Linked DNA regions of Lytechinus pictus. The protein of the gene in region 1 binds, or shares a complex with, the protein of each later gene. Links are inferred from orthologs where the notes say so. Each region holds a gene or a part of one and is shown in the gene's direction. Other genes may lie near its edges.

What was found.
Region 2: protein virilizer homolog (region 1) and N6-adenosine-methyltransferase catalytic subunit-like share a complex: the UniProt entries of both Homo sapiens proteins name them as parts of the WMM complex. The link is inferred for Lytechinus pictus from reciprocal best matches to the Homo sapiens genes VIRMA and METTL3.

Annotation. Positions count from the first base shown.
Region 1 is NC_087246.1:52,274,459-52,291,353, reverse strand, and holds the start of protein virilizer homolog, read left to right. Parts: upstream 1-8,385; 5' UTR 8,386-8,587; coding exon 8,588-8,632; intron 8,633-16,181; coding exon 16,182-16,294; intron 16,295-16,895. Other genes in the region: uncharacterized protein LOC129270772, read left to right, coding at 881-919. UniProt on the Homo sapiens protein: Associated component of the WMM complex, a complex that mediates N6-methyladenosine (m6A) methylation of RNAs, a modification that plays a role in the efficiency of mRNA splicing and RNA processing.
Region 2 is NC_087246.1:25,852,839-25,869,272, forward strand, and holds the start of N6-adenosine-methyltransferase catalytic subunit-like, read left to right. Parts: upstream 1-8,489; 5' UTR 8,490-8,512; coding exon of another isoform or gene 8,513-8,633; 5' UTR 8,634-8,961; coding exon 8,962-9,052; exon of another isoform or gene 9,053-9,151; intron 9,152-9,959; coding exon 9,960-10,108; intron 10,109-11,780; coding exon 11,781-11,848; intron 11,849-12,525; coding exon 12,526-12,658; intron 12,659-13,227; coding exon 13,228-13,318; intron 13,319-13,690; coding exon 13,691-13,767; intron 13,768-14,171; coding exon 14,172-14,208; intron 14,209-14,604; coding exon 14,605-14,660; intron 14,661-15,559; coding exon 15,560-15,673; intron 15,674-16,303; coding exon 16,304-16,434. Other genes in the region: arrestin domain-containing protein 3-like, read right to left, coding at 4,921-5,055, 8,513-8,633. UniProt on the Homo sapiens protein: The METTL3-METTL14 heterodimer forms a N6-methyltransferase complex that methylates adenosine residues at the N(6) position of some RNAs and regulates various processes such as the circadian clock, differentiation of embryonic and hematopoietic stem cells, cortical neurogenesis, response to DNA damage, differentiation of T-cells and primary miRNA processing.

The DNA of each region.
Region 1 (16,895 bases):
ACACATTAGGCCAACGTAAGAAATTGTTTTCTTCTGAGGTTCTGTAAGTTTAGATTCATGACCTGTATCAATATACAAAGATCCTTTTATTGCAGTTATTCCCTGCTTATTTATGTTCACAGAAAATTTCGAAGTTATTGTCTAATATGTGGACGTTAGTTTTTTATTATCAAAAGTAAAGTTTAGGCCTATTTTAAACATTTGGACTTACGATTTTTTTGTCTAGTATAGGATGTGTTAAGCAGTTTTCTAGACAAATTCATTGAAGTAAAATAGGATTTTGCGTGAAAATGAATTCTGCCATTTACCATATTGTCTGCAAATTTTCGGCTGAAACAGTGTAGAATTGTGTTTTCAAGTCGAACTATCTCGAAATTTGTGATAACCTATGAGATATGTTTAATATCACGAGGAAGTATATTTCAATGTGGTCACTTCACTTTGAGACCACTTTCAATTCAGGGGCACATTCAATAAGCTTATAAGATCTTTCTCAAGTTAGCATTCGTATGAGTAACTACACTGTGAAAAAATATTGGGTAAAATTTTAACCAGCACGAGGGTAATTGTGTGCCCAAACAATTTGGGGCAGTATTTTACCCAATGCGGGAAGCATATATTGTCCATTAAGATTAAAATATAAGCAGCAATTACTTTAGAATGGGCAAAATTGTCATCACACTGGATAGATAAAAATGCCCAAAGGAAATGTCCAATGTTGGTTGGACACATAATTACCCTCATGGAGCATTTTCACCCAATATTTTTTAGAGTTTAAAGCCAATTTACCCCAGGGCTGGCTATTGGACATTTTTATACAACCTAGGAGGTGTTTTCTTCAATAGATACAAATGATTTTTAAATCTATTTTCATTTCTAGATTAACCTCGAATTTCTCCGGCGTTTTCATCAATGCTGATAAAGACTATTAGTGAGGTTTCAGAATTTGATTCACCGTGGGGAATGCCAATTAGCCTACACCATGCTAAGTCCCATCAAAATCCTAGATGGTTCAGTGAGATGACATAACTCATCATGCCTCAGCTCGTCACATCACTGCCATTTTAAACTAAGGCTGCCTCAACACAACCATGTTAAAAGTATAAACAGTACCCACAAAAAGGGAAGTAGCCAGGAAAAATTCGGATTGTCAAATGTGATATTTCACACATTTATACAAGAAGATACTAAAACAACAAACATGATCGGGTATAGGTTTTTAGTTAAAGTAATGATAAATTTCAACAGTAAGATTTCTATAATATTTACCTACATGTGCTATGAAAAACAAAGACGGGTCCAAAATAATAAGTGACGTCAAAAAATATGCAAATATGAAAATCTAATTTCCTACATATGTTTATTTTTGTATAGTGTTATGATTCTATAGTGACATTGCGTTGTTTTAATATCTACCTGTGAGTTTGGTGTTAATATTTTTTTAAACTTGACTTTAAAACTAAAACTTGAATTTAAAAATAATTCATTGAAATACTTTTAATTTTTTTAATTTTAATTACTAGTCATACAAACCGCCGTGAACCACCATCGAAACCATCGATATGTGATCGCAGGTAGCAAGTAGAATCTCTGTCTAAAATATCCATATGACCAGTTTTCCTATAAGTCAAATATTGAGGGGAAATAACTTGGAAGAATTAAAAGACAGTATAGATAGGCTCGGAAAAAATGCAATAATTGCACTTTAATGTACTAGTAATTTGATTCAATTTACCGCATTTTGTAAAACTTATCATTTTGTTGTTTAATTCGAATTCTATGCCCTTTTCCGACATTTTGTGAAGGGCCTATAGGACTATCTGATATCATAATCGGTTGTTATTGTTTCAAGTTATTCTTGTTATTATGATTAATATCGTTTTCTGATAATGTTGTCATTATTGCCATTTTCATTATTATTTTTATTGTTATTATTATTATTGCTATCATTACTTTTATTTTTTATTGTTGTTGTTATTATTATTTTCATACTGTACAGATCGTCCAAAGATGGACAGTCATAACTGGTATTAAAATGAGATTTGTCATTAGTTTTTCAATATATACTCTATATCTCTCTCTCTCTCTCTCTCAAAAAAAGAAATGTGTCAAAGCACACGCTTGAATGATGAAATTCGAAAAAAAGGATGATTTTTTTTCAATGTATATTTTCATTATTTTTTTAAAAATCTTCATGACATACTTAGATTTTTTATTCTCCAAGTTATCCTCATTTCACGGTCTTTTTTGACATCATACATACTGTCATCATCAAAGAGCGAATATTTCACTGTCTTTTCAAATAATAATACTTACATAGTACATACACATATAACCTGTATGTATATAACATGTATGTACAAAAACTTGTGTCTTTTAATGTATTCATTGTTAAATTCTAACTGATTTTGTTTGTATTATATTGTTGAAGCAGTGAGGTAATGTTTAAAATGTTACCCATTATGGAATGTCATGTAAATACAGTTTCGTATATACCGTAGGTATAAGTCTACGCATAAGTCTACAAAATTATGTCTTTTAATGTATTAATTTGTTGAATTCTAACTGATTTTGTTTGTATTATATTGTTGAAGCAGTGAAGTAATGTTTAAAATGTTACCCATTATGAAATGTTATGTAAATACAGTTTCGTATATAGGTATAAGTCTACAAAATTGTGTATTTCAATGTATTTATTTGCTAAATTCTTGCTGATTTCGTACAAAAAATTATATGTTTTTTAATGCATTCATTATTTTGTTCAATTCTTATGACAGTTGAAGTAGTGATGTAATGTTAAAAATGTTACCCATTATGAAATGCCATGTAAATACAGTGTCGTATAGGTTTATATGTCTATACGCAACGATATGCCAACGGGTCTTTCATCAAAGCAATTTAATAATTTGTCTTATTATGTCATATATTCTATGTCTATTATAAATGTTGTCATTGCATATAGAGAGATTAATGTGTTTTTTTAAATGAAGCAACCAGTGGCAGCATTTTCTATTTTTCTACAAAATTATTATGTAAATACATTGTAAAAAAAAGAAGATGTACATAATTTTTGGGATACAAAGTTACAAGTCTTTCATGTTATTATGCGCATAGTTGTATCAATAATATTTGCTAATTTCTAACTTGGATTTTGTCTTGGGAGCCGTGAAATAATATTTTGATGAAGATCAATGGATAATCACGCACAATGTAAATAGCTATGATTGGAAATCAAGTATTAAATCGATGACGGTTGTGTTTATCAACGAAATACCAAAGTGCAATAATAAAAACTAAAATATAACAAGGCTAAACTGAAATATAACAATACTGATAAAAAAGGCTTTCGCTCAGAATAAAGGTGGTTTCGGTCAAATAAATACTAGTATTTGATAATAATAAAAAGGTTTTGACTACAAAACGAAGGTGATTCTGATTATATTTCAGCTCTTCTGATTCAGCATACCTATCAGATTTCCAGGGGGTGCTGCCCAAGACGAGTAACACACGCAGCACCCCCTGGGTATATCAGCATCCCCACTTCACAGGGTCGTGATTTCATTTAATTGTATCTATGATCTTTCGTATATACCTATACGTAATAGTGGTTACGACTTTCAGTTAGTGCTTTCGATTACCAACCATGTCGTGTATTCTTTCATCAAGCAATTTACCCACATTGTGCTGTACTCGACCCAGGTGCATGGCCCTGGGAAGCGGGGGTGCCACCCCCCCCCCAAATTACCTTAAGGGTGCTGCGTGTATTATTCTCTATAGGCAGCACCCCCAGGTATTCTGGAAGATGTGTAAAAATGTTTTTAAAAAATATAACCAAAACGAACTCTTTTTCTTTCCAAATTTCTCGGGACCAATTTGATCTCCATTTTGGTTGTGAAAACTTTTTTTTTTCCTTTTAAATTTACTTCAGCACCCCCACTCAATAAAATCGTTCCCAGGGCCCTACCCATGTGAGGTGAATTAGTACCCGGTAGGATTTATTTCTTGAACGCTTTAGCGCCTATAATGGCGGCTCAGCTAATAGCCATGGTAATTACCAAGTATCAAGCGCAGTAGAATATATGCATATAGGAACTGAGCTATATTAATGGACCATATTATTATTATTATTATTATTTATTATTATTATTATAATTGTTATTATTATTGTTTATTATTATTATTATTATTATTATTGTTATCATTATTATTTCACTTCATTTCCTTCTATTTTTACCTCTGTTCTTTTCTTGACTGTACCCCCATTGCAGAACAGCATTTTGACACAGCAGATAGATGTTGGGCAACATACTGTCCTCTGTGTTGGGTAATGTATGTTGGAAGCATATTCGTATATAAATATATATATATATTTATAGGCAGTTATTATCCAGTTGAGCAAATTTATTACCCAATTATTAGTTTTTATTACCCAATTTGCACAGATTTTAACCGATAGTTGTGTGGACAGTATGTTGCCCAGGGTTGGTTAAAAGTTGGGCATTTTTTGCCCAATTATTTTAAGAGTGTAATCCAGCTCGTTTATATTTCCTACAGTTATGCAAACTGTAAATATGTAAGCCAATCTGTATCGTTGTGTTTGTTTTTGATTTTTCGAATCGGAAAATAAATAATACTATTTCTACATGTATTAGAGTGTATTGTCTTTATTTACAGGTATCGATTTCTTCCATAATTTTGGGCTTATGAAATATGCATGGATCGTAAAAAATGCGAACAGATTCGTATCAAATCAAATTATAATTTTCCTACTCTTTATTATCGTTCCATGACATTTTCTCCGGCGACATGCAATCGCTCCGATGGAAAATCAGCACGTTAACCCTAATATAAATAGACTGGGCCATTTCGTCGCCTAAGACGACGGGGGGGGGGGGGGGGGAGGCTGAGACGAAAATTGGCACGCGCTACCCCTGGCATAATATGCAAAACTATAAGATCAAATTCTGCGAAAAATCTAAAAAATTATGGTTATTTTGCTAATTTATGCATAAAATCAAAAGGGTGCTCTGATGAACTAAATATTGCCCCTAAAATGCTAATTTTGGGTTCACATATAGGAATCTGATCAAATGCGTTTTTAAAAATTTAAACATCTCATTTATTTTCTCATGTATTTTATTATTTTTTAAATTTCTTATGTAGGCCTAATTCTTTGTTTTTCGAATTTTTGTTTTTAATTGTTAAGTTTTTTTCCAATTGAGATTGTCGGGGAATTTATTTTGACCATAAACAAGATGAAATTGATCGATTTTAATCAGTAAAAGGAAAAATAATGATACATTTATGAATTTGGGCTAAAAAAACTATTTGCATTAGATTTGTACACGAATCCACGTTTTTGAGCAATTTTGGGTCTGTACACTAAAAAAATAGATTCAACTTTGCCCCCCCCCCGAGTTTGCACCTTTAAAGGTGCAGACCAGAAGTCACACTGGGTGCAGCTTTAAGGTGCAACTTTGTACCTTTTTGGAAAGGTGCAACTTTGCACCTCTCTGAAAGGTACAAAGTTAAACCTTAAAGGTGCTCCCATTGTGCCATCTGGCCCCCGTCTTACAAAGAATTGCGATTGATCCGATCAATTGCAACTATGGGAGGCCAGCCAAGTCAACACATGAAATGCATGTTTGTTCAAAAATTGTTCTATATATGAATGTATATCCATAAAGTCATTGATTTCTTGACAATTTGGTGTGTTTTCCTTTGTTTACAAAGGACATTTTGCAAATTTCCTGTAGAAAATATTATGACACTGATGGATTTCCATAGAATTACTATTGATTGCATGGATCAATCGTAACTCTTTGTAAGATGGGGCCCTGGTCTGCACCTTTAAAGGTAGTGAGTGGGTCTTAAAAATTGCTGCACTCGTTTAAAATTATGTGCATATTATATTCACAAAGGAAAATGAGGGTGACTAATCAATAGTGAAAAAAAAAACACTTCACAAATAAGGAAAAATATTTCTTTATATATCAAAACAAGTATAAATGAGGATTAAACGGTGAGATGTTTAGAGGTAAGATGTTAGTGGGAAAGAATAGGATTATTATTATCCAAAATAGAGTGGACGAATGATGCTATCACAGATCACACTGTAACTCCCCCTAAAAACGTGTAAATAACACGATGATGCAAATATCAAAATAAAAAGACTGCAGACACGAAAATTTTTGAATAAACTTTAAAGGGCAAGTCCACCCCAAAAAAAAAGTGAATCTGAATAAATAGAAAAAACTCAAGTATAATGCGGAAAATTTCACCAAAATCGGAGATAAAAAAGAAAGTTGTAACTTTTATTTTTTTAATAGAAAAACATGTCCAACGTAATATCAAATGAGAGTATGGATGATGTCACTCACTATTTATTTTGTATTTTATGCAGCGGCGTACCTAGGATTTTCCAAAAGGGGGCAAATTTTTTGGAGGATATTTCGTCCGCGAAAAAATTCGACAAGCCCCCCCCCCCCCCAAAAAAAAAAAGGTCTTCAACCACAAATAAAGGATTTCGTACCAGAAAAAAATTTGACAAGCAAAAAAAAAAAAAAAAAAAAAAGTCTTCAACCGCAAATAAAGAACATTTCCTACCAGAAAAAAATTGCCCCCTCCCCCTTAGGTACGCTAGTGATTTTATGGTAGGAAATAAAGAATGTTTCAATTTTTGCAGATTTTACTATAATGAAGCATGTTTATGTTTAGTGAATTAAGTTATTTCATATTTCATCATTCCTTTCATTAATTTGCATAACGACCAGAATATGCAGCTAACTATTTTATGATGTCATAATTTTGCGATGTCATAATATAACTTTATTTTACATCCGATTTTGATAAAATTATATTAATGATATTTTCTCTCTTCATTCATATATGGGGAGGATATGCCCTTTAAATTTTTATTCAGAGATAATGCAACATTCTAAATTCTGAAAAAATTTCATTCTATTTGGAATGTTTTTTTTAAATTATTATTATGTTCACTAATGCAATTAATGGAAATGAGGGGGGGGGTCCACTATAATAGCAAAGCTTGTAAAGTGTGGATCCCCCGTGGAAATGAAAAAAAAAAATATTGCCGACTTATTCATGTATGCGTATATATGCAGGATAGAAAAAATGAGAAGGAACAAAAAGAATTTGAACTAGACAAATCAGCAGTCACTAGCTAAATTAGCTCTTCGTTTTTGAGAGTTATTCAGGACATTGATTTGATCAATGTTATCAATAACTCAACGTACATTTAATGGGCATGATGGGACAAGGCCTAACGATCTATTTGCAAAAATTGTCCCAGGTTTCCTAAAAAAAAGTGTGAGGATCATGCCCCTCACTCTAGTGTATTTAAAATAATGTTTGAATTGGTTTCTGTTTTTTAAAGTTAGTAACAATATTTAAAAGCATTTACAAACGTACTTGTTTCATCATAACCACACACTTGATGCAAGATCATTGATGAGTTACTTGCATTGTTTGTATTTATTCCATATATATGAATATACTTAACTATCACAATAGTCTGTAATTACAGGTATGTCTTTTTCATTTATATCATTATTATTTTAATTGAATTAATTATTTATTATTCATTAATTTATTTATCTGTTCATTCATTAATTTGTCATTATGGAATATATTCAACTTGGTGATAATTCATAATTGGTATGGTGTCGAAAATCTGTCTATCTGACGGTCAATTGGATCGGGGTCGCCCTAGCCACTAACCCGTCTCTGTGGTCTAGTGGTTAAGGCACCGGCGTTCAAAGCTGGGGGCCCGGGTTCGATTCCCGGCAGAGACATTTTTTCGGCATCACCAATTTTTCCAAAAAGGGTAGATAGCTCTGGGGAACCTTGATTTAAGCTACGCCTACCATTGTTCTCTTCATCCATTTCTTTCACACAATATTTAAATATAAAAGAGTTGCCAAAGCTTAGTACATGTATAACTTCACACATTTATATATATATATATATATATATATATATATATATATATATATATATATATATGTTCAAATTTAACAAATCATACAAATCCTGTCAAACATGGAGGATGGCCCATTTCAGCGGTATTTACAAAATACCCCTGTTCTTCCTTGGGATTTTCCGGGGGATGTTGGCGCTTCCCTCTGCTATTGAACTGAATTGAATTGAATGGAATAACTTAATTGTCCATAAAAGAAATTCTTCTTTTTTTCACTGGTTTACACACATGTAGATACAATGTATATACACAGAACAAAGGGAGTGCTTAGCTGGGTATTCTTTTAACAATAAATGCTATGCAAATTGCAAATGGTAAATAAAAACAACTATCATCACTGTCTAATACTATCGCCATTTTCCCCATTTTCGTTGACACAGTTAAAGACACAGTAACGATAACATTTTTTGCCATGGCCGCCTTACCGAGTCCCGTCGTCCTAATCAGGGAGTAACAAATACAGAATGACTCGCAAATTTCTGACATTATCCTTCCTTTGCAAAATCACCTTGTTCTTGATTTGGTTTTGAACAACTACAGAAAGAATTTGAAGATTTGAACCTTGATCAAGTTTGAAACGTTTGCAGTATGGAGGTTCTTTTCTTCGACACGCTAACCCACGAAACGAGTGAGGTGAGTCCACCCAATCATGGCATTGGCAATCGGCAATAAGCTAGCTCCGCCGCCTATGGCTATGCAAGGCGCGGCCGACGGCCGGCGAGGCGCGGTGCGGATGGGGCTGGAGTAGCCAGACAGGAGGCTCTTAGAGAGTAAAAATCATTCACTAACCAACATGTGCTGGCGCTAGTGTAGTTTCGCACCTCCCCGTTTAATGGTTTTCAAACATGTACAATCTCACCCTAAATAATTCACAACCTAAAATACTTGCATCTGAGCCTCCAAAGTCCAGTAGAAGTTGAATATTTGCCGTTTTGACATTTTTTTAAACAAAGTTTTACACCTATTTCGGAATCACTCGGTCGCTTGAAGCTCAGCGCTGCACGCACATAAGCAGTCGGTACGCGTACAGTACGTACCACCTAGTGACGTGCAAGAAGAGCGAGTTTTTCTATGGTATCTTCAAAAAGATTTTTTCCCCTCTTTCAGCTTGCACCAAGTATTACGGTAGTGGTTGTGCAGAGTGGTTGATGTTTGTTGTGTGAATCACTGTGAAGGTGTGTGTGGGGTGTGCGTATGTGTGCTTGTTTGAATGAAATAAGAAATGTGAAAAACCACTACCGTAATACTGCACTTCACTAGGTGGTACGTACTGTACGCGTACCGACTGCTTATGTGCAGCGCTGAGCTTGATCAAGCGACCGAGTGATTCCGAAATAGGTGTAAAACTTTGTAAAAAAGTGTCAAAACGGCAAATATTCAACTTCTACTGGACTTTGGAGGCTCAGATGCAAGTATTTTAGGTTGTGAATTAATGTTGTAAATCGGATCAAAAATCAGATCGAAAATCGGATCGGCAGTTAAGCTTCTAAAATCGAAATCGAATCGAAAATCGAATCGGCGATGTTTAAAAACAAAGGAATACATCAACATTTTGTTCGCGGTCGCGCGCATCTTCCTGACAAAGTCACAAAGACGAATGTTTAGGAATGGAAGTAGTCGACATGCGCGATCGTTTGGAACATGCTTTTAAAGGGTTTTGAGGTTTAACTGCTTAACAATAAAATGAGTGATTTTTATAAGAAAGATAAGCGAATGACGCATCTTCCGAGCAGTCGCAAAGGAAAATAATTCTCGTAGATCACAGGTCAATGAACGATCGGCGGGACATCTTTTATAAGTATTTTTATGTGAAGCTGAGCTCAGCTAAGTTCGCTCATTATAATATGTGATTACAGCCACGCCCAATAACCATTCCAAAGTACACCCATTTTGTTATAATAGCTTACTTGGTACATCATTTCTCCGAATCAGTTCTGGGAAAAGTTAAGTCACGCCTCAGTATCGATCTTTTTGTATACCCACCCACTCAACAATATCAGTGAATTACGCAATGCGCGCAAGCATTCACACAATACAAGATAGTTTTGTGGCATAGCCGAGAACTGGAACCGCCCAGACTCAACGGGCTAGCGCAAAATTCTTTACACTACCTTTTGGCATGTGCACGTGGTGGGTTTGATTGACACTGCTAACAGTGCTATTCTTTGAGTTGGCTCACTGGCTGGATTAATGACAATATATCACTGCAAGTATGGCTTACATGATACATACAACACGCAACACATCCATACACACTGCTCTCAAACTCCCTTGCTATTATTCGTACCTAGGCCGTGTGTGCACTTATGGGCGGGATTTAAGCAGGGCATTGACTAGCATATACAACACATCCATGCACCCAGCATTCATATACATTTCTCAAACTCCCTTGCTATTCGTCCATTGTGTGAACTCATGGGCGGGATTATGACAAAAATTAGCGCAAGCACTAGCATACGTAATACACACAATACATTCCTGCACCCACGCGGTCACACATAGCTCTCAAACTCCCTTGTCATTCGTCCATTGTATTCACTCATGGGCGGGATTTATCAGCGTAAGCACTAGCATACATAATGCGTACAACACATTCATGCAGTCACACACAGCTCTCAAACTCCCTTGCTATTGGTCCATTGTATTCACTTATGGGTGGGATTTATCAGCATAAGCACTAGCATACATAATGCATACAACACATTCATGCACCCATGCAGTCACATACAGCTCTCAAACTCCATTGCTATTGGCCATTGTGTGCACTCATGGGCGGGATTATGACAAAAATTAGCGCAAGCACTAGCATACGTAATACACACAATACATTCCTACACCCACGCGGTCACACATAGCTCTCAAACTCCCTTGTCATTTGTCCATTGTATTCACTCATGGGCGGGATTTATCAGCGTAAGCACTATCATACATAATGCGTACAACACATTCATGCAGTCACACACAGCTTTCAAACTCCCTTGCTATTGGTCCATTGTATTCACTTATGGGCGGGATTTATCAGCATAAGCACTAGCATACATAATGCATACAACACATTCATGCACCCATGCAGTCACATACAGCTCTCAAACTCCATTGCTATTGGCCATTGTGTGCACTCATGGGCGGGATAAATGACAAACACAGTACAAGTACATGTTCATTGTTTGTATATTATACAATACATTCATTCCAAGTTACACTCCTGCCATACCAGTCAGCGCAGCTACCGGTAGGTCATCATAAGTAGGTCAACCTTTTATGAGTCATTTCTGACATTCTAGGAATCTCAATTGTTCGAACTATTCGATTGTTAAAAAGCTCTAAATAGCTAGCACCTCTGCAAGAACAATCTTGAAATATGTTCTGACCGCACTGTAACTAGATCTACAGGTATGCCGATTTTTTATATCCGATTTTTTCCTTCAAGGGGCATGATCAAAGATCGGCAAGTGATCGCCGATTGTTGTGAAATCGAATGGAATCGGTTGCCGATTGCAAAATCGGTTACAAGCTTATTGTGAATTATTTAGGGTGAGATTGTACATGTTTGAAAACCATTAAACGGGGAGGTGCAAAACTACACTAGCGCCCATGTGCTTACTCTCCACGGAGCAAGGGATTGTGTCCCATTCATGTGGGTGTACCGCAAAAAACCCAGAAATGTTCGCCCCCAAGATTTCTACTTCTACACGTTCTAGACAGCTGCCAGCCGCGCCGTGTGTTTCGAGGAGTTTTTTAACATTTTTAAGTTTTCTTATTTCTCCTCGTACACAGACGGCTGTGCAGTCACCATTATGATTAGGGGGTTAACAATGCAAAATCCCCCGGACGGGGCTCGTCGATTTTTGTCTTTATTTCATAAAAATGTATAAAAAGAACTGGACCAAATAGAGATAATATTCCGTTTTTGCCTGAAATGCACCAAAACAGGAAAAAATAAAATTAAAACTTTGGGAAAAAATTGGTGAGTGGAGCCAACAGAGTTCAGTGGAACAACCAAACAGAGACCAAAGCTTTAAGTTTTGGTCTACCTCTAAAGGATCTAGCCCTATAGCTATATCTAAATTATGTACCGGTAAATGGGATACAACTTCATTTCCGACATTTCTACAATATTGATTTCATTTTTAAACAAGAATTAATTAAAACGATAAACTATGCCAATTTTTTTTTTTACAAATTATTTTTCACTTATTTGTGGTATATATTCTGAAGATCCTTACCCAAGAACAAACTATCACTAAACTCATAAATACGAAAATCCCGACATGTTTTCCGAACACCTTGATTTCGCCGCCCGATGTAGAACTAAGGGGTTCTAAAGCTAGGCACTTGATTTATCATGCTAAGAAATAGTATTTCCTGTGCTTAATATTAATAGGAAAATATGAAATTAAAGTGAATATAACACCAAAATTCCAAAGGCCAGTATTCTGAAGTCGGGTTTAACTTGAACTCGGGTTTAAAGTTGTGGGTTAACTATGGATAGCCAATTGTGACAAATCACTAAGAGTAGATATGATATTTCAGCTCATTTGACTCTCAAATCATCCCCCATTGTCTAGGAAGTATAAATAAGATAATTGTCTTCACCATCAAAGAATCGGGGAAAGAGCACAGTAAACATAAGAAATACACATTATAATAAAAATGTTGACTCTTGGCTTCCCATAATTTTAGCACAGAGTTAGACCATGGTCTAAGTTAAACCCGGCTTCAGAATACGGGCCAAAGAGTTGCTGGTTTTCTCTGCATTTAGTGATTTATTGCAGCCTCTGTGGAAAGAAATTGAATAGGAATCATAATGTCACTCTGCAGTCACAGCTTCACACACAGAGTGTGTATTTTGCAATAGATGTTGCATGCGCAATGAGTGGCGCATAGCTTTACATGCTGGTTCCCATTTCAGCGAGTACAGTAGAGTAATATAGTGTTCCTGCTGAAATGAGAAGCAGTGTGGAAAATTCTCCATAGGGTTTCGCACACTGGTTCCCATTTTGAAGAGTAGAGTATTTATAGTTCATAAGTGAGATTTATTTCATCAGTGACGATTCTTAGAGATAAATCTCACCAGTAGTAAACTGTCTTCATTTACTCGTGAAAATGGGAACCAACATGTACAATTCTGGAGAATTTTCCATAGCTTATTTCTGTTTTGAAGAGTAGATAAAGACAGATTACTAATGAGATTTATTTCATCAGTGGTGATTCTGATGAAAGAAATATCACTTGTAAACTGTCTTTATCTACTCCTTAAATAGGAACCAGCTATGGAAAATTATCCAGAATTGTACAAGCTGGTTCCAATTTTCATGAGTAGAACCAAGAGTTTATTAAAATGATTGATCTTCATATATATCTTGTTTGTGATTTATTTAATTAATCAATTTTGTGATCATTTTTTTTTCACCATTGTGAAAGTGGCAGAGTGGTTTTGAAGAGCAGGGAAATGCAGGGTAGATGGATTAATCTCAAAATTATAATTCCACATTTGATTAATTAAACCCTTGTGCGGAATCGCCGATGTCATCTGAAAACTTGAAAATCTGGGCCCAATGAATATCGCGCGAGGAAAGAGGGAACCAGTTGTGTGAAGAGCTTCACATTGTTAACAAAGCAATTCGCATCATTTCTTTTGAAAATCGCCGAAGCGAGGTTTCTTTATAATATCGTGCTGAAAGGAGGTACAACTTTGATTTGGTGAACAGTTCCCAAAGCACAGAATGGCCGTTCTGTCTGGCGATAGGCCCAATGAAAATGATAATGCGCAATTAAAATGAATTTCTATGAATGATAAAAATGTCAACAACAAAAAGCCAAGCCCAACAATCAACAAAATAAAATTACATGTAAGTCTAACATTAGGTTAGGTCTAGATGTAACGTTAGGTCCAAACTTAAGCCTACATGTATGCAGGGTGCGACATAAGCGCTTGCCCGATTGCCCGGGGCAAGTAAAAGTTAGAGTCGGGCAAGTGTTTTGAAGTAAAGACCAAAAATACTTGTCCGAATCGGGCAAGCAAAATTCTCACTGTGAAATGAAATTTTACAAAGTTTCCCAATACTTCACACTAAAAAATACAGAAGAAAGAGAGAAAAAAACAAGTTAACAACTTCCCTCAATTCAAATTGCAAGCCACTTTGCAACATTTTTTGTGATCTACACACAAAAACACACACAGAGTCAGCATACATACATGTGGCTGGTGCGCCCAGCCTCCAGCCTGTGTGGCAGGCATGCATGGATCTCCATGCTGCTGTACACACCTGTACTATCCCGATCAAACTCCAAATCTAAGTGAACAAGCTCACATGAAAAATAGTTTTTCCAACAAAATAATCACAAAATCGGCGGGAAATTGATATACTTATATGGATTCTCAGATTACTGATTTGGTGATGTGATCTGAGGAGCAAGTTATTGAGTTTTGTAGTGGAAAGAAAGATGCGTGCAAGTCTACGATGCCGCGATGATTCATTTGATTTTTAAGTTTGTGAATGTTTCTCTGTGAATTTTTTTTCTAAAACGTTTATTTTTCCAACAATTTAAAAAATATATTTTAGATATTTTTTCAGCAAGATTTTTGTTTGATGATTGCATTTTTTTGTTTTGTTTCAAATTTGAGCTTTCTTCCTCTTTCTTTTTCTTCCTTCCTTAATCCTTACTTGCTACCTTCCTTTCTTTTTTTCTTTCTTTCTCTTTTATTCTTTCTTCATCCTTTCTTCTATGTTTCTCGCTTGCCTTTTTTTGTTCCATCTATCTTTTCAATCTTTCCTAGCTTTCTTTCCCGATCTTTTTTCTCTCTCTGTTCATTTTCCTTTGTTTCCTTCGTTTTCTTACATGTACTTTCCTTCTTTTTTTAAAATTTCTTCATTTTTTCTTTCCTCTAATTTTTCTTTGCTTTCTTCTCCCTTCCTCTCCTTTTTCTTTTTGTTCTTTCTTTCCATCCTTCCATTATTTTCTTTTTTTAATTCTCTCTTCACTTCATTCTTTCCTTCCACTAAAGTTTCATCCTTTCTTTTATTCTTTATTTTCTTCTTTCCTTTTTTTCCTTTTTTTTGCTATTTCCTTCTTTCCTGTTTTCCCCTTTCTTTCTTTTTTTTTTTTTTTTTTTCTTTCTTTCTTTCAAAAAAATGCAGGATCTTTTTTTCTTCATTCTCTGTTTCTTCCCTTTTTCTTACTTTTCCCCCTTTTTTATTTCTTTCCATTCTTTCTTTCACCCAGTAATTCATTTTCCATTCCTTTCCTATTCTTTTCTTTCCCTTTTTCTTTATTAATTTCAAAGAATGAAGGAAACCTTTTTCTTTCCTTTATTCTTTCTTCCTTCTCCATTCATCTCTTTTCTTTCCTTTTTTTCTTTCTCTCGTTCATCCTTTCATTCGCCCATTCGTTCACCTTATCTTTTTCTTTCTTTCTTTCCTTCCTCCTTCCTTCCTTCTTTCTTCTTTAGTTATTTTCAGTGATTCCCCTTTTTATTTTGTGTCACGGTCATATACAAAAGCACATGAAAATATATGAGAGAGAAAATTAATCAAATGGTGTATTGACACCAATTTCGGTCATAGGAGGTAAAATAACTTTTAAAAAAAATATTACAAGGTACAATAGTTCACGTTAAAAAGAGAGGAAAGGGGCAATGGTATACAAAACCGTAGTACTTTCTTTTGAAGCGGTAAAACATTTCGAAGGATTTTTTTCGGGCAAGTGAAATGTATTTTTGGGCAAGTATTTTCCAACTATTTAGAAATTTACTTGCCGGACTGGGCAAGTGCTTCTAACAAGTTATGTAGCACCCTGATGTATGTGGAAAAAATTGTAATGTAACTCGGCGGTTGCTTGTGTTTCCTTGAATTTGAAAGACAGATTTTTGGTTAGTTGTATTTCGAGAAGAAAAGTCAGAACAGATCTAGGTTCATGAGGTCAAAATCAAAGATTTTTCTGTGGTAAGTGACAATGCATGTTGTAAAATAATGAGATTGGTGTGTGTTGTGTGAATATGCAGAAGCATGAAGTTTACTTTGAATCCCAGCTCTGGCCCAATTTTGGACACGATGGGGATTTCACCAAGTTTTATATGCTTGTTTGAGATTTACGATTGTCTTACATCTTTGAGACTTAGTATTATTGTGCTTAATTTCAAGCCGTTTGAGTTTTTATCTGATATCTGTCTTTATTGTAGGAGGTGAACATGGATCTGGTAAGGTTTTCCATGCCTGTATGTATCCATGAAGTGAGGGTGATACCCAGGGGGTTTAGCATCCATCCTAGCATTCATGATGACACTGGAATGGGGTAAGTTCATTCCCATCGAGTCAAAATTTCAAAAATTCTGTAGCCTTTGCCCCAACTTTAATTGAAAAAAAAGTACATGTTGCTTTATGAGTGAACTATGAAATTTCCTATTCATTTTAAAGCTTTTTGTAAGCAAAACTTAGCATTATTAGATATACATTGGAAATGCTTGTGCATGGCACCTGAAAGTATGTTTGGGAATTTTTGTTTAAAAAATTCTTTTAATAAATACAGTGTACAAAAACATTATTTTCGACCAAAAATTTTATTTGGCCTAAAAATTCAACAATATTCAGATAATTGGCTTTACAATGTCACGTGAAAGGTTATTTTCGTTTGCGTAATTTTAGTACAGAGCTAGGAAAAAGCCACAGGCTGTTTTTATGCTTACTTGCTTGTAAAGAGTCAATGATGTACAGCGCGTCCCAAAAAAAATGTCCCTCTGATACGAGGCTGGATCACTTCCAAACTTGAGAATTATTCTCAATAAATGTGTGGATATAGGAAGCTCATCTCATGTTCTAACTTCTATAAAAATTTCTTTGGTCTCGCTTCAGTGGTTTTGAATACTCAGTCTATTATGTAACAATGGTGCTTTTCA
Region 2 (16,434 bases), about 26 Mb from region 1:
GGAATATCCATTGTTTCTAGGGATTTATTTAAAAGTTTCTGACATTTACTGTCATGTCACATTGGTGAGATTGGGGTCTAGGCCAACGTAATGTTAGACTGTCGAGTGTCTTACTCTTACTCGTAGTTTAGCAGAAAACCCAAAATACAGATGGAGACTGAAGCTTTTGGTCTAACGTTAGGCCTAACTCTAACTAAGTCAGATAGTGAGATAGGGCCTAGTCCTACATTGACATGTAAATCTATCCCTGTCCTAAGCTAAGTAAGGCTAAGCCAGGCTTAGTCCCGAATGTTGTTCTAGGCCTAGACCAATACTATTTAGGTCTAGATCTATGTACTATATGTAGCTTCAGTCTCGGTTGCTCCACTAAGTATGGCATCCCACTGGCACTAGACTAAATAACATTGTAAGTGTAACAGAGTTACGTTTTGCAGCCTTCCTTCATGAAAGTAAAAAAGTCAAAACAATGTTCAATTCTCCTCAAAACAGACATATATTTTATAGATCTTGGGCCTAGGCTAGATCTAGGCCTAATGTTAGACCCAAGGCTAGTCTCAAAAGTTACAAAAGTTTTCCCTTAGGGAGCCTAGGTCTACTTAAACTGAAGTTAAAGTAAACTGTCGAGAGGAATTTATAGTTTATATTTTGACAAATAACAATACATGAAAAGTAATAAATGGGACTGATACACAAAGAAACTGTGCAAGTCACTCGGTTTGGGATGAAATGTTTTGGTAATTAACAAAATATATATAATTTTAATAAAAAGTTCTTACCATATATGGGTGATAAATGCTCTTCTCTTACTACAATAGTTGTAATTAGTTTCAATAAAATCCAAAGTTTTAAGAAAAAACAACTTCAGTGACATTTTTGCAAGTTTGTTGCAGTCACCCCTGCAGCAATTTATTATTGAGAAGGTCGCTGAAGGTCATAGAATTTGAGACTTTGGCTTAGCCATATCGCCTGACTTGAGACAAATGTCTTAAAGTTTATAGAATATCGCTAGGGAAGATTTCTTAGACAAGCAAAATGCTAAGACAAATTGCTAAGACTTAAGCAAAAAGCTTATCTTGTTTATGGAATACGGGCCCTGGGCCCGTATTCCATAAACGAGATAAGCATGCTTAAGTCAAAAATCTAAGCATTTTGTCTTAGTTTTCTGTCTAAGACAAAATTCTTAGCCAAAACGCGTATTCCATAAAGAATTGGCTAAGAATTTTGTCTAAGAATTTGGCTAAGAATTTTTGCGCGACTAAGACAGATTTAGGATAAATGGCTAAGTAACTTTTCTTAAATATGCAGAGTCTGTATTTCATAAATTCTACATGGCTAAGAATTTTGCCCTAACTTTAAGACAGTGGTGAGTTGTCTTAATTGCTTTAAGACAACGTTTAAATCCAACAAATCATGGCCAATTTTTTTTTAGAATTCATACCTATATTGCATTTCGAGCTACTTCCTCAGTTTTTAACCAATTTTCATGAAATTTGGAACACACATTGGTCTTAAGGTAAGGAGGTGTAAGAATTTTTTTTGCTTTTTCAGAAATAGTGTTGCCATGGTAACAGTATATTATGGCCAAAATTTAAAATTTAAATTACTTCATCGGTTTTCTACCAATTATCATGAAAGTTGGCTCACACATTGGATTTGAGGAAAAGATGTGCAAGACACAATTTTGCATGTGTCGGAAATTGTGTTGCCATGGTAACAGTATATTATGGCAAAAATTATGTATAAATCTTGCTATTCCAACTACTTCCTCAGTTTTTAACCAATTCTCATGAAATGTGGCACAAACATTAGTCTTGATGTGAAGATGTGCAAAACATATTTTATGCCTATATACAAAAATTGCGTTGCCATGGTAACAACATATTAAATAACGAAAATTAGGTGAAAAATTTGTGGTTTTAACAAGTTTACAATATTTCAACCACTTCTCATGATGTTTGCCACAGACATAAGTCTTGAGGTAAAGATGTGCAAGACACATTTTCGCATGTGTCGGAAATTGTGTTGCCAAGGTAACGGTATATTAGGGCAAAAATTATGTAAAAATCTTGCAGTTCCAACGACTTCTTCAGTTTTTAATCAATTCTCATGAAATGTGGCACAAACGTTAGTCTTAATGTGAAGATGTGCAAAGTATATTTTATGCCTTTATAAAAAATTGCGTTGCCATGGCAACAAATAAAATAACAAAAACTAGATGAAAATCTTGTAATTTGAATTACTTTATCAGTTTTCAACTGGTCAATTCTCCTAAAATGTTGGCGCACACAATAGTCTTGAGTTGAAGATGTCTAAGATATACTTTTGCCTGTATCAGAATTCGTGTTGCTATGGTAACAACATATTATATAAAGAAATTAGGTGAAAATCTTGTGGTTTGAATCCCTTTATTAGTTTTACCAATTCTTATAAAAGTTGGCTCACACATTGATTTTGAGGTGTAGATCTGCAAGACATATATTTGAAAATTTGTTGCCATGGTAACAGCATATCAGATCAATAAATGTGTAAACAGCATGATGTGTATTGAACTACTTCTTCATTTTATGACATTGGCCTATATGTCCATGAAATGTAGGTTTTGAGCTAAAATAATCTGCAAGACACATTTTCTCATTCATCAAAATATGTGTTTGTATGATAACTACATGTATACGCCAAAAAAGATTAAGACAATGGTCAATGACAATGCTAACTTTTGTTTGGCTACATAGAGAACTACATGTAGCTGAGGGCTTAGTTCTAGTTTTTTTTTTTTTTTTTTTTTTTGGGGGGGGGGGGGGCTAGACCTCAAGATTTCGAACTACAGCCCCTAGTTTAGATCTAAGCCTAGATCAAGATTCTTTAGTCCTAGAAATAACCCAATGCTAGATCCCTAGCCTACTTCCTTTCTCAGGCCTAACGTTAGATGAGTAGAACTAGACTAGATCTAGCCTACATTTACTATTTTTAGATCTAGAATCTACATTGAGATAGAGTCTACAAGTCTCTAGATCTACACCTATTACTATGACCCTATGTACACCTAGATTGGTATAGTTCTAGATCTAGATAGGGTCTAACTTTTAGTCTAAGTGAGTAAGTCATTTAGTCTAGATCTAGGCCTAGGTTAGAGATTTCTAGATCAAACAGTAGACTAGATCAGCCAGTCCTAACGTTAGGGCTACCGGATAGGCTAGAAATAAAATCTAGAATGAATAGAAGAAAGCACAGGCTAGGCCGCCTAGGCCCTAGATCTAAATTCTTATATAAATCTAGGCCCTAGTCTAGACTGAGCTGTTGCCAGTGTTGGTCTAGGTTTAGGCCTGTTTTCTAGTCCTGGAAACCTAGATCTAAACAAGTCCTCAAATTCAAAATGTATAAAATAAAAACTCCAAACAAACAGATGGACCTAAAGCAGGAGAAGATCTAGATAGATGTCTAGACTACTACTAGGACTAGATCTAACTTTAGGCATAGGCCTAGTTGGCAAGCAATGCATAGCGATATATCTAGCACTGTTGACAGGAATAACCGTCGTTTCTGGGGATTTATTTAAAAGTTTCTGACATTTACTGTCATATCACATTGGTGAGACTAGGCCAACGTAACGTTAGACTGTTTAGTGTCGTACTCGTAATACTAAAATAGCGGAACAACCAAAATACAGTCGGAGACTGAAGCTTTTGGTCTAGGCCTAAGTCAGATCTATTCTAGACCTACATGTAAATCTAGATAGATCTATCCCTGTCTTAAGGCTAAGCCAGGCTAAGTCCTGCATGTTCTAGGCCTAGACCAATACTAATATAGGTCTATCGTTAGATCTAGGCCTAGTATGTAGCTTCAGTCTCAGTTGCTCCACTACGGCACTAGACTAACAAAGTTACGTTTTGGCTTTTGCTTCAGCCTTCAGGAAAGTAAAAAGTAAAAACAATGTTCAATTCTCCTCCAAACAGACGGATATTAGTTGTAGATCTTGGGCCTAGGCTAGATCTAGGCCTAATGTTAGACCCAAGACTAGTCTCAAAAGTTACAAATGTTTTCCCTTAGACCCTAGGTCTACTTCAACTGAAGTAGAATAAAGATGTCGAGAGGAATCTACCCTATCCCATTTAGATTTTGACAAACAATACATGAAAAGTAATGAATGGGACTGATACATAAAAAACTGTGCAAGTCACTCGGTTTGGGATTGAAATGTTTTGGTAATTAACAAAATATAGAATAATCTGAATAAAGAATTCTTACCATATATGGGTGATGAATGCTCTTCTTTTACTACAATGGTTGTAATTAGTTTCAATAAAATCAAACTTGTTAAGAAAAAACAACTTCAATGACATTTTTGCTATTTTGTTGCAGTCACCCCTGCAGCAGTTTAGAAGGTCATAGAATTTGACTTTGAGACTTTGGCTTAGCCATATCGTCTGACTTGAGACAAATGTCTTAAAGTTTATAGAATATCGTTAGGGAAGATTTCTTAGACAAGCAATATGCTAAGACAAATTGCTAAGACTTAAGCAAAAAGCTTATCTCGTTTATGGAATACGGGCCCAGCTGCCTGTGATTTTTTTTGGGGGGCAGCAATTGTTGTATATTTGGAGACCAATGAACATTTATTCAATGAATAACAAGTTATATATTGATAAAACAAACATAAATTTACAGTGTAAAGTTCACACATAGGCTATGCCATTTTAAAATGGATACATTATTTTTTAAATAATAAATTCTCTTATTTCTTATCTATGACAATGCATATCAGTAAATAGTTAAGTATACATGATCAGAAAATTTATTCATTTAGAAAAATGAAATATGTGTGAAGCAAAGGAACTGAGCTTGAGAGTATCTCAAATACATGTCCATTAAAAATAAATTATAGATGAATCAAAATTCAAATGGATGCAAAGAAATATTAACCTGCTCCACGGAGAATGACTTCTTGCTTGAAGAATGGAATTTTCCATGTGTAATGGATGGTTCTTCTGTGATCTCCGGAGCCTCGTGTTTCAGTCCAGTGAGTGTAGGACTTGCCTTTGCATATTACCTTAATACCTGCATGTAGTCATGAGAGAGACAGAGAGAAAAGGGGAGGAGAAAGAGAAAAGGGGAGCGAGGAAAATTGTAACTCTATCACTTTTTATTTCCATGAATGAAGTTTTTGTCAATTCCGCTGGTTACATATATATGCTCTGTAGGTATACCAGAATATGCAAAGCAAAGTATTCATTAATTCTTGTTTAATGCATAAACCTAGTAACAGTTAGGTCTTTCCTTTCTGCAAAATTTTCATTCTGTGATTGGCCTTTAGGCTTAAAAAAAAATACTCATCACTATATTTGCATTAGGAACATGTGTACTACCATGGATGGAGTAAGAATTGCACATTGGTGAAGATGCGCCGGCATGATGCAATTATTCTTTTTTAAACTTAGATCCATTTCCGGGGATCCATTTGTATTTTCAAGGGAAGGATTCAGCAATCAGTCATATTATAAGTTGGATATTTGTAATCATATTGGTCATGTTTTTGGACTGGAGCAAAAATGAAGTCAGATAAGTGCAGACTTTGTTCTTTATATTAAACTAAGTCAAAATTAAGGCATACCCCGTTACTAAGAGTTGATTGGGTTAAGAACTTTATCTTGATGTCCTGCTCCAGGGGTGGTATTGAGGTATTCTGAGGTAATTTTATCTTTAAAATATTTCATTTTGTCTTCAAAAATGAAATTGGTTTTCTGAGATGACATTTTATCTCTCAGATAAAATATGAAATTTTAGCAAACTTAACTTCATTAGATCTACATATCTAAAGATTATACGCGACAGAGCAGAGCCTACATAGAAATATCCATCGCGTATCTAGCCATTGCTACGCAGATGATGTGCGTGTACCCACGTTACTTTGAAGAAGAAACTTAAAAAGAAACTTAAAATAGGGTGGGGCCTCTTTTATCTCTGCGTCGTCCAATCCAGCATGGTTTCTAAGTGAATTAGCTCTAAAAGCTTGAAGACAAATTTGAAAGAAAAATTATATCATTGAGAGTAATAGTATAATACCTGAACATTACTCCTGTATGATAAGGAATTATTTCATAATATTTTCTGGACTAATAATTGTCTCTAAAATGATGCTGGTGATGATGCGATATTGACATTGGGACTCTGTGAGTATTGTCATATTTTTAAAAGAAATCTCTGTAAAAATGCCCTAGCGCATAGTGCAAGCGTATTTGAATTCAATAAATTGACATAATCTTGCTCCTTTGCCATACCTCCTGGCGGAATGGATATCAATGATTAGTTGAGTGAGATGAAAGTGCTATAATTATAAAACAATTGATGTTTCTCACTTTCTCATTGGATATTACTTCAAAAATAGACATGATAGATGTGTCTTACAGAGATTAAATGAAGATAAACTGGTTCTCAGAATACCAATTTGGAGAGATTTTATGGATATTTTATCACACTCATTTTAACGAAGATAAAATATTTTATTTTATCTGACTCTGAGATAAAATGGATATTAGAATTCAGAATACCACCCCTGGGCCCCAGTACAGTACCACTACAGAGCTCTGCTGACGCTGGACCCCAGGAAATGCGGACCTCTTTGTTGAGGTCCTGGGGACGATTCCACGAAAGGGTCTTTGCCAGAACGGCATTATCCTGGTTTAAGTAACCACTCCATCTCCCATTGACTATGTACACAAAGAGCGCACACACACACTGACACACACAAGAAGAGAGGTGACTTATTTCAAGATAAGGCTGCAAGAACCGTCTTCCGTGTCGCCCATTTATGATGCGCCATGTGAAACGCATCTTAAATAAATTATGATGGTCACCGTGGTCCCTATAAGTCTGCGCACCTAGCTACCGGTATATGAGTTAAGATTTAACACGAATTTCTTTCTATTTCACAAAATCTTTCAGTTAGCCGGTAATGATGTTCCTGATATTATATTAGGAGTATTAAAGTGTGCCAAATATCTCATAAAAATTTGAAAGAATATATAGGATTTTCTTGGAGAAATCAGAATGAAAAAAAAAATGGTACCCCATGTCTGCGCACCCCTTCACTTTGCACACCATTCGGGGATTTTGATGACAAAGGCTGCATTTTAAGGCCGTCACATGAAATGCCCAAAATTCATTATTTTTCCAATATTTTGAGTCGGATTGTTTGATGAATATCTGTCTATGTATTGCATTTGTAAAGTCTGTGTTCGTTGCGTATCTTCTTTTACTAGAATTGCGCAGATAAGCATGTGCGCAGACAAGGGGGACTGCATGCGCAGACTTGGGGGAACTTGCCATACCTGCAAACATATTTTATTCATCCGATAAAGTAAACAAAAATAATAATCTTTGTTTATGAAATGATGTGATATATCTTGAAATTGTATACAAATTGATTTAAATGCTATCTCACAAATTTTATTTGTTTATCATACATTTAAGAAATATGCCGCATACAGCGGCCTTGACCTTGGTCTTGGAAAGACCCTTTCGTGCAATCGGCCCCTGATGATCTGATCTGACATGCATACCGCAGTATGGTTGGAACTACCCCTTATCGACCATCTAATCTTCTAAGCATCGTATCTGCGATCAATTTTACCCAGTTTTCGTCTCATTTGTGCAGAAAATTGAGCAGATCAGATTCCCATGTTTCGCTCGGCGACTCCGATTCAATCCGCGTATATATCGACGAACAACGAATACGACGATTTTACATTTGCTCATTTGCACCCGTCTTTTGAAACCGACCACCCGCGGTACATTGAGTTTACGACCGATTCTTGTCGCGGTGGCAAAATATTTTTACTCTTCCAAATCAGTTCTATGATGTCAACATGCTAAATGATCGTCTCACTACTTCCACTGCGAGCTCCGACACATGATTGAACGATTGACGACGGATATTTGTTCTAGAGCCGTTTCCTATTGGATTTCTTGGTTTTTCAGCGGGGTTTAATTGGGTCTGGTCAATACAATTTTGATTAATTCTACTAAATTTTTACTTCTTGTTGCTTCTTTTTTTCTCGTAAAATCAATTCTTACCGTTTCTATGGACACTGCGCCTACTCTCCCGTGCGTATCGTTAGTAATACGCAATAATTTTAACGTGCGCAAGGTGGTCGGTTTCAAAAGAGGTGGTCGATATGTGGTAGTCTCACCATACCCCTGTTGACCAAGCCATACCCTTAGTTCCAAGGCAATTGGCAATTCCTCCTACTTTAGTAGGATGGGGGGTCGGGTGTCCGGACACTTTATCTTTTTGAAGCCTTCTTTTTTGTCTTTGGATTACACTAAAAATATGAATTCAATACTTGTAATCATCTTCTGTTTTGTTCTTTATAATATTTCCTAACGTTTTGTACTAAAAATTGATGAAACTTCGCTTGTAATTTTTTCCAAATGACTTTCTAAAATTGATCGTCCGGACACACAACCTGTCCGGACACACAACCTGTCCGGACACACAACAACTGGGTATACTTACCTCGAATGTCTCCCTTTTCTCCCGTCAAAACTATCCTTGCGTGTCCCTGGATGGTATCCCCTGGTTTGAACACTTCATTGCTACCTTCGAAAACAACCTCAAATACCTGCAATTTACCCATTATTGAGTAGGTCTAGCTAGACCAAAGTCAAAGACAAAATGATTTGTTGACGATAGAGATCGCGTCACGGCCACACCCAAGGTGGTTCCCCATGTTCCTCTCGATCTCGCGCTCGATCCGATCCGCACTCGCGCCGCGGTGCCGCTCTATCCCTCTCTTCAAGCCGTGCATGCGCAATGCAATTCTTATGCAGATATCACGATTCTGTGATCGCAGCTATTGAAATTACATGTGAGCTGAATTCCCAACTGAGGATTAGACTGTTGTTGAATGGCAATACTGTGATCATATTCCTCTTATTGTAACACTTTATCGCCAATCAAGGACAATGGCTAGTACTTTGGAGGCTCTTAAGAAAAAGAGAGAAGATTTAAAGGCCAAGTTGATGCGAAGGAAGGAAATTACAACAGGAATAACTGGTGAGTTGGAAAGGACTGCCATGACTGTAGTCCCATAAGTTGAAAATTATGTAAGGCGGCATACCGTAGATTATTCTGATATTGATTTTAATTTAATACATACATTTTATCACAAAAATATATTTTCCTCCCAAGGTTATGTGACTCAAGAGTCAAGATGGTTGATTGTTCGATCATGTTTCATCATTTGGAAACTGGATTCGCTTTTGAAAGTGAAATATCAATGTTCTTTTGTAGAAAAAAATGGAATTGGAAACTTTTCAATCATGTTTCATTATTTTGCTTTTGAAAGGGGAATATCATAACGTTAAATGTCGACTTTTTAATTAAAATGCAAAAATTATGTTGCACTTGCAGGGCTGCCAACTTTTGAGTAGCATGGCATTGCATTGACACTCGATCGCTTGTTGTGCCTCGCACAAAAACCCCGCTTCATAGTAAAATTTCGACGTCACCAGCTCTCATATACTAATATAGTCATACACGGGATACAGTAAGCCAATCGCAACTCAATGTCTTGTCTTTGCGCAGCAAACCGAAACCAATTCGCATTGATGGTTTAGCTTTGCGCTTGTGTGGTTAAAAACTTTGAAACTTTTGCCTGTCCGGGTTATAATGTTATTGAATATCCGATATAGGCTAATAAACTTTTTTCTCTCTATTTTCGGGGTTCAGCGTGAGAATCGGGTGAATTGTGTGAGACTCACGCAGATTGCGTGAGAGTTGGCAGCCCTGTGTTGTTTAATTTTTTCACTCTTGAAAGAAAATGCATGAAAACTCAGAGGAAAGAATATTTCATTTCCACATGACTGTATGAGCTTGGATTTAGATAAAGAAAACAAGTCCACACTGTAGTGGTTTCTAATGCCTCTGTATTGATATGTCCTTTTTCAATTATATTCGTCAGAGAACAAACCAGTTTCACTCAAGTTGGAAGTATCAAGTTCACCTATTCCACCTGATAGTGTGCCTGCACAGAGTAGTAGTACATGTACCTCATCAATACAAACAGGAATAAAACAAGAAGATGGATCAGCTCCAGTTCCTATTCCAAAGGTATTCTACAGTTGGTCAAGAAGGTTTAGAATTTATGGTAGTATACTGAATAGTGTTCTCATCGTTTATCGTATCATTTATAATCTTGGAAGTCAGCAGCAATTTCCTAGTCCCAATTTACTTGACTGAGTCAGAGCAGACATGGTTATCTATTTTTACCATTTGCAGTAAAATTGATTGTAGACATAGTCAGATTTTGCTGACATTGCATATTTGTAATGTTTGATGTATTTTCTAATGCAATACCTGACTATTCCCAATGTACTACCACAATAAATTTTTATGAAGTGGCCCTAGAGGCCAAAATCAATGAAAAATGTATTTGAACAAGACAGTCAAATATTGATAACTCTCAGAATAAATTCAGTCTTGCTTGATTCCTAAGATAATGTACTACCATAGTCTAAAAATTCTTTACCCTTAATTATATTTTAACCATCCAATATTGCCTTTAAACAAAGGAAATGTATGATTACTGCTGTAGATGTTGAATAGGCCCGATAGATATATTTAAGGAAAAAATGGTGTTCTTGTCAAACACAGCTCATAAGATTGGTTGAGTTTGTTGTTTTACTCTTTACACACCAAACATCAAATCAGTTTGTGTATTTTCCTTCTGTGCAATCAGAGACTTTGGAGGCATAGACTCAAACACAACTTACATTGCAGCGAACATTTCTGTATAAATGACAAAAATCCATTTTGCAGATATAATTGCCCCTATGCAAGATGCTTTACTTGGTTTATGGTGTAGAACTGGCCCTGGATAGATCACTAAAATATATTTTCTAGATATTTGTCAAGTTTCTGTCAATTTCTTTTTTAAATTGCCCATATGCAAGATGCTTTACTTGGTTTATAGTGTAGTACTGGCCCTGAATAGATCACTAAAAGATATTTTGTAGATATTTGTCAATTTTTTGTCAATTTTTATTGAAAAAACCCCATTCTTTTGCTATAGCTTCTTGCGGTAGATACAAATGATAATATAAAAGCTGATAATGTAAAGAATAATTGTTTTTCTTTATGGTGGTGTTTTTCTGTAGAGCATTGCTGTAGTTGTTTGATAGGAATAAATCATAAAATCATGCATTTTAACACAAGGTACATGACATCCCTTATAGATGAAGTATATATATTTTGTAGATGAGAGGATACAGAAATTGCTGAGAAGATAAAAATATAATGTGACTCATAAAAAAATGATCATGTTTCAGAGATAAATCGCTTGAAAAAAATATTACTTCAAAAAGAAGGGCACTTGTCTGAAAATGAGGGACACATTGCAAAATTTATGGCAAAGGGGGATGCCACCTGTGCCCCATGACCCACAAATTACTGATAGTGTACATGTAGGTCTTTCAGTAAGAATACACTTGTTCCTTTGATTTTTATCCATTTTTTATTCAAACATGTGTTGTAAACTTACAATTGCATTGTAATGATCATACGCATATTTCTTAGAAAATTTTTCCTCAGTTACACTACTGTTTCAGGATTTTATATTATCTTGTAAATGTTAGAAAATATAGATTTTTCCAGGTCAATGAAATACTGTATTTACAGGTTTAAGAACCTGTGTTACTTATCTTTTTTCTTTATTTTTCTGCCCTCCAAAGTATGTCGCTGATCAGTTTACTATTCATTTCATTTTTTCTTCTTAATTTACCAGAGTACTGTACCTGCAGGAAGTCAAGGTATCTCTGATGGGACTGAATCCAGGAAAAGAAAGAGAGAAGAGTAAGTCATAAAAGGAAAAGATTTAATGAATCCACTCTGAACATGAAGCATCACTTCAGTTCAATGAGTAGAGAAATGCAGTACCCTATTGACTTTTCAGTGGTTAAAGTAGGATCTATCAATTATATTCTGTTTACCCTATTTTAAGAAGTCCAAACAAATATTTTCATTACCTCTACCGCTATGATACTGTGCATCAGATCTGTGCCCAAACCAATTAATTTTATAAGGATAAAATTTACAGCTCAGTTTTTTTTTTTATTATATAACTACTATTTGATAACAATTTTGATGTAAATTTTCAAGTCTTTGATCTGTGTCTAAGAACAGGGGTGAAATGAATTGTACTGTACTTTTTTTAAAACAATTTTGGGACCTAATATTTCTTTTAAATATTAAAGATTAAAGTGGTTTACCATAGTAATTCTAGTGGGTATATATATCAGATAAGATTACATGATCAAAATATAGCATTCTGAGAAAGGAGTGTTAGAGTGAGCAATTTGAAACTCAGGGGGATATTGTACTACCTTCAAGGTTTAGCATTCTCGCAAATAGTAATTTTGTAAATTACAATAAATGACAGATGAAGTTAGTCAATGCTTAATATCTCTCTTAAAATGGACCAGCTTTCTCCCATTATGAACTATATTATTTATTGATTTTTATGTGCATAGATCTGATTCAGATCAGGATATTGGACCTACTTCTACTGCCAAACAGTCAGCTGTAAAATCAGAAAAAGAAGATGAGGTTATTGACCTAACTCTAGAGAACCTTCTTACCTCAACATCATTTAAAGAACAAGAGGTAATATATTGGTGGCTTATTGGATTATTAATTGTTCATATAATTTTTTTGACAAATATGTTTTGATAATAATAGATTACTTCAAAAAAAAACTTTATTAATGAATAATAGAAAATATATTTGTATGGGTCAAATGTACTCATCTTTTAGGGATGTTTCTGTACCTTTTTATTTTAAAATACTAGTAATTGTACAACAATAAATGGAATCTTATTTTGTGTAATTCGAAGTTATTTTATCATAGGTTTATTGCTTTTGACTGATTGGAGATCATTTATTTTGAGTTTTCGGGAGAAATTATTTCAAATGATACAATAATAGATTATTAGAGCAATAAAATCGTAAGATGAAATTGTACCCCTCCCCCCCCCCCAATAAAAAAAAGGAATAGTTTTAATATTGAAATAATAGTAATAATGATAAATCAAGAGATAGGAGAAATTCTGAAATGGTAGGATTATTCAAATCTAATGTAATGAAGGTATATCTGAGTCTATTTTCAGAAACAAGTACAAACTTGTTATGCATGCTGACCGTAAATTAACTTGATTTTATTCTTGTTTTTACAGAGTAAAGAAATGGGACAAGAGATACATGATCTATTGAGTATGCCAACGGCTAAAGAGAAGTCAATTAAGGAGGCTTTTAAGTCAAAAGGAGGTTTGTTCAAGTTCATACTTTTTTTCAAAGATAGGTAAAAATTAAAGCTGATCGGTTTAAAGAGCTTGGAACAAAACAGCTTTCCACACGCTTAATTTTACCCATGTGTGGAAAAAGGCTAATAGGAGTGAAGTCTAATAATACCTTAAATGTCAATATTTTTGGTTGCAAGGCCACTTTTTTATAGGGTACATTTCTATTTTAGGCCCCTACTGCCTAAATGGTAAAAAAAAATTGAAATGTAGAAAATAAAACAACAAATCTCCAAAGCCGATGAGAGGTGATAAAGGCCAATCAACGATCGCGGGCTTCGATTAATTTTAGCTCTGTTTACCTTACTATTTTTAAAATTCTTTTCCTTCAAATTGTCAGGTACTGTTCATGAATTCTGTTCGCATGGTACAAGAGATGAATGCATAAAAGTTTCTGGAGCATCAAATTGTAATAAGGTAGGATTTGATCTTTAAAGTCTTCATTATAAATATTTAAAATATAATTATGTACACATGCAAACATGTATTGTGCTTCTACTTGTTTTCATTGGGCCTTACCAAGAGACTATTTGACGTGGAGAAATGTTTTTTTAATGTTTGTTACTTGTTTAATAGATATGCATACTCTGCTTGATTATAACAGAAGGTATATTTATGGATATCAGAATGAGGTTAAACCTTGTTTTGGTCATGTTTTATTATTTTTCAATTCTTGTTTCAAATCTCTATTTTTTTTTCTATTCAAATTTCACAACCAATTTGATAAAATGTATTTAAATTCTATGTTAATGATTGAACGAACAGTGATATTTAAGAATTCTATTAATTTCTAACTTTTTCCTCTTTCTTTTCATTTCCAGCTTCATTTTAGGAGAATAATAAACAAACACACTGATGGTGAGCTTTTATTTATCTATATAATAACATTGTATGTAATTGGTGTGCTATTAGTGTCTTGGTGTTGTTTACTTCTTTTGACTTTCCCTTGTAATCAGAGGGTCATGTGATCAAATTCCATTGATGCAATAGTGCCCTTTGCCAAGGCATCAATCTATACTTAGTCAATCTCCACCTATGTAGTTAATAGGTACTAGTAGAATGCAAACGTCAATGTTTGTTGGATAAGCTATTTGCATGGGTTGACTGCTAATTGCTGGAATAATAATAGGGTTTTTCATAAATGTAATTAGTTTCCAGTATATATCTTTTTTTAGGTCATTGAGACGAGCATGCATTTTGATGAATACTTTAGATATGATTGAGTTTATATGTATATCCTCTTTTCCCATCTAGAGTCCCTTGGAGACTGTTCGTTCCTGAATACTTGTTTTCACATGGACACATGCAAAGTAAGTACAAGACATCTGAATATTTATGTTTCATCCATTTTTTTATTTAAAAAATTAACCAGTATTGTTTTATAATAGACTGTCTATTCTGAAAGTTTCTAGTGCAAGTGATATTCTATTTGCATTCAGAGGAGCTTTGATATCACCATGAAATGTCATATAATTGAAGTTGATTACCCATGTAGTATGTATATTATGAAGATAAAGAGTCTAGCCAGAGTGGTGATCAGATTTTGCACTGTTATGTTTTTTTTTACCATATAGTATGTACATTATGAAGTTGAAGAAGGCTAGTAAGAGTGGCGATCAGATTTTACACTGTCTTGTATTTATTTTCACATGTAGTATGTACATTATGAAGTTGAAGAAGCTAGTAAGAGTGGTGAGGAAGAGAAAGGCTCATTCAGAGGAGCTTTGATATCACCATGAAATTTCATATAATTGAAGTTGATTACCCATATAGTATACTATTATGAAGATGAAGAGCCTAACCAGAGTGGTGATCAGATTTTGCACTGTTGTGGTTTTTTTTACCATATAGTATGTACATTATGAAGTTGAAGAAGGCTAGTAAGATTGGTGATCAGATTTTACACTGTCTTGTATTTATTTTCACATGTAGTATGTACATTATGAAGTTGAAGAAGCTAGTAAGAGTGGTGAGGAAGAGAAAGGCTCATTCAGAGGAGCTTTGATATCACCATGAAATTTCATATAATTGAAGTTGATTACCCATATAGTATGTATATTATGAAGATGAAGAGCCTAACCAGAGTGGTGATCAGATTTTGCACTGTTATGTTTTTTTTACCATATAGCATGTACATTATGAAGTTGAAGAAGGCTAGTAAGAGTGTAGATCAGATTTTACACTGTCTTGTATTTATTTTCACATGTAGTATGTACATTATGAAGTTGAAGAAGCTAGTAAGAGTGGTGAGAAAGGCTCTGGTCCAGTAGCTCTACAAAGAATGAACAGTAAACTTGGTCCAAGTGTCATGACGCCCCCGCAGGTAAGCTCACAAATCAATCTTTGGTCTTAAAAAATTGACAAAGCACAGATGGTGGACATGTTTGATTTTTTTTAGTCTGCATTTCATCAATGATACATGAATGAAAGGAAGCAAGGAGTACAAAATATTGTGAGAAAATAGTGATTACTCGAAATAAATAGGCAAATTCTTATTTATTCAACTGTCTTCTTGATTATTCATTTCTAAGTTTCTTCATAAATAGTCAAGTTTCTACCATGCACTTATATACAGTGGTGTTTGAAAGTTAATGAACCCCACCAGAAATGCACTCCTTCGTACTGAGTGTTGAATGAAGACAACAACAGTACAATGTTCAGCGAGCACAGAGATACAAACTTTATTGAAAGTAATATTTTATCACCTGATTTCACAATGAAATATCTAAAACGTGGCAAAAACCTGAACACTTGAAATATGTTGGGTTTTTTTTCGGAGGGGTTCACTACCTTTTTAGCACCACTGTGTATTCCTCATGGTTTTTATCTGTCTGTCACCGCTCTTTCTTCCTTTTTATTGTCTATAATCCCTCCCTTACCCAGTGTACCTGTGTGATAAATGTGATTGTTTCCTAAACTTCATTATGATTATCTTGTTTCTATCTTGCTTTAGTGGGTTCAGTGTGACCTTAGGAGCATGGATTTTGAAGTACTTGGCAAGTTCTCTGTGATCATGGCTGATCCACCGTGGGATATCCACATGGAATTACCCTACGGAACTATGCAAGATGACGAGATGAGAAA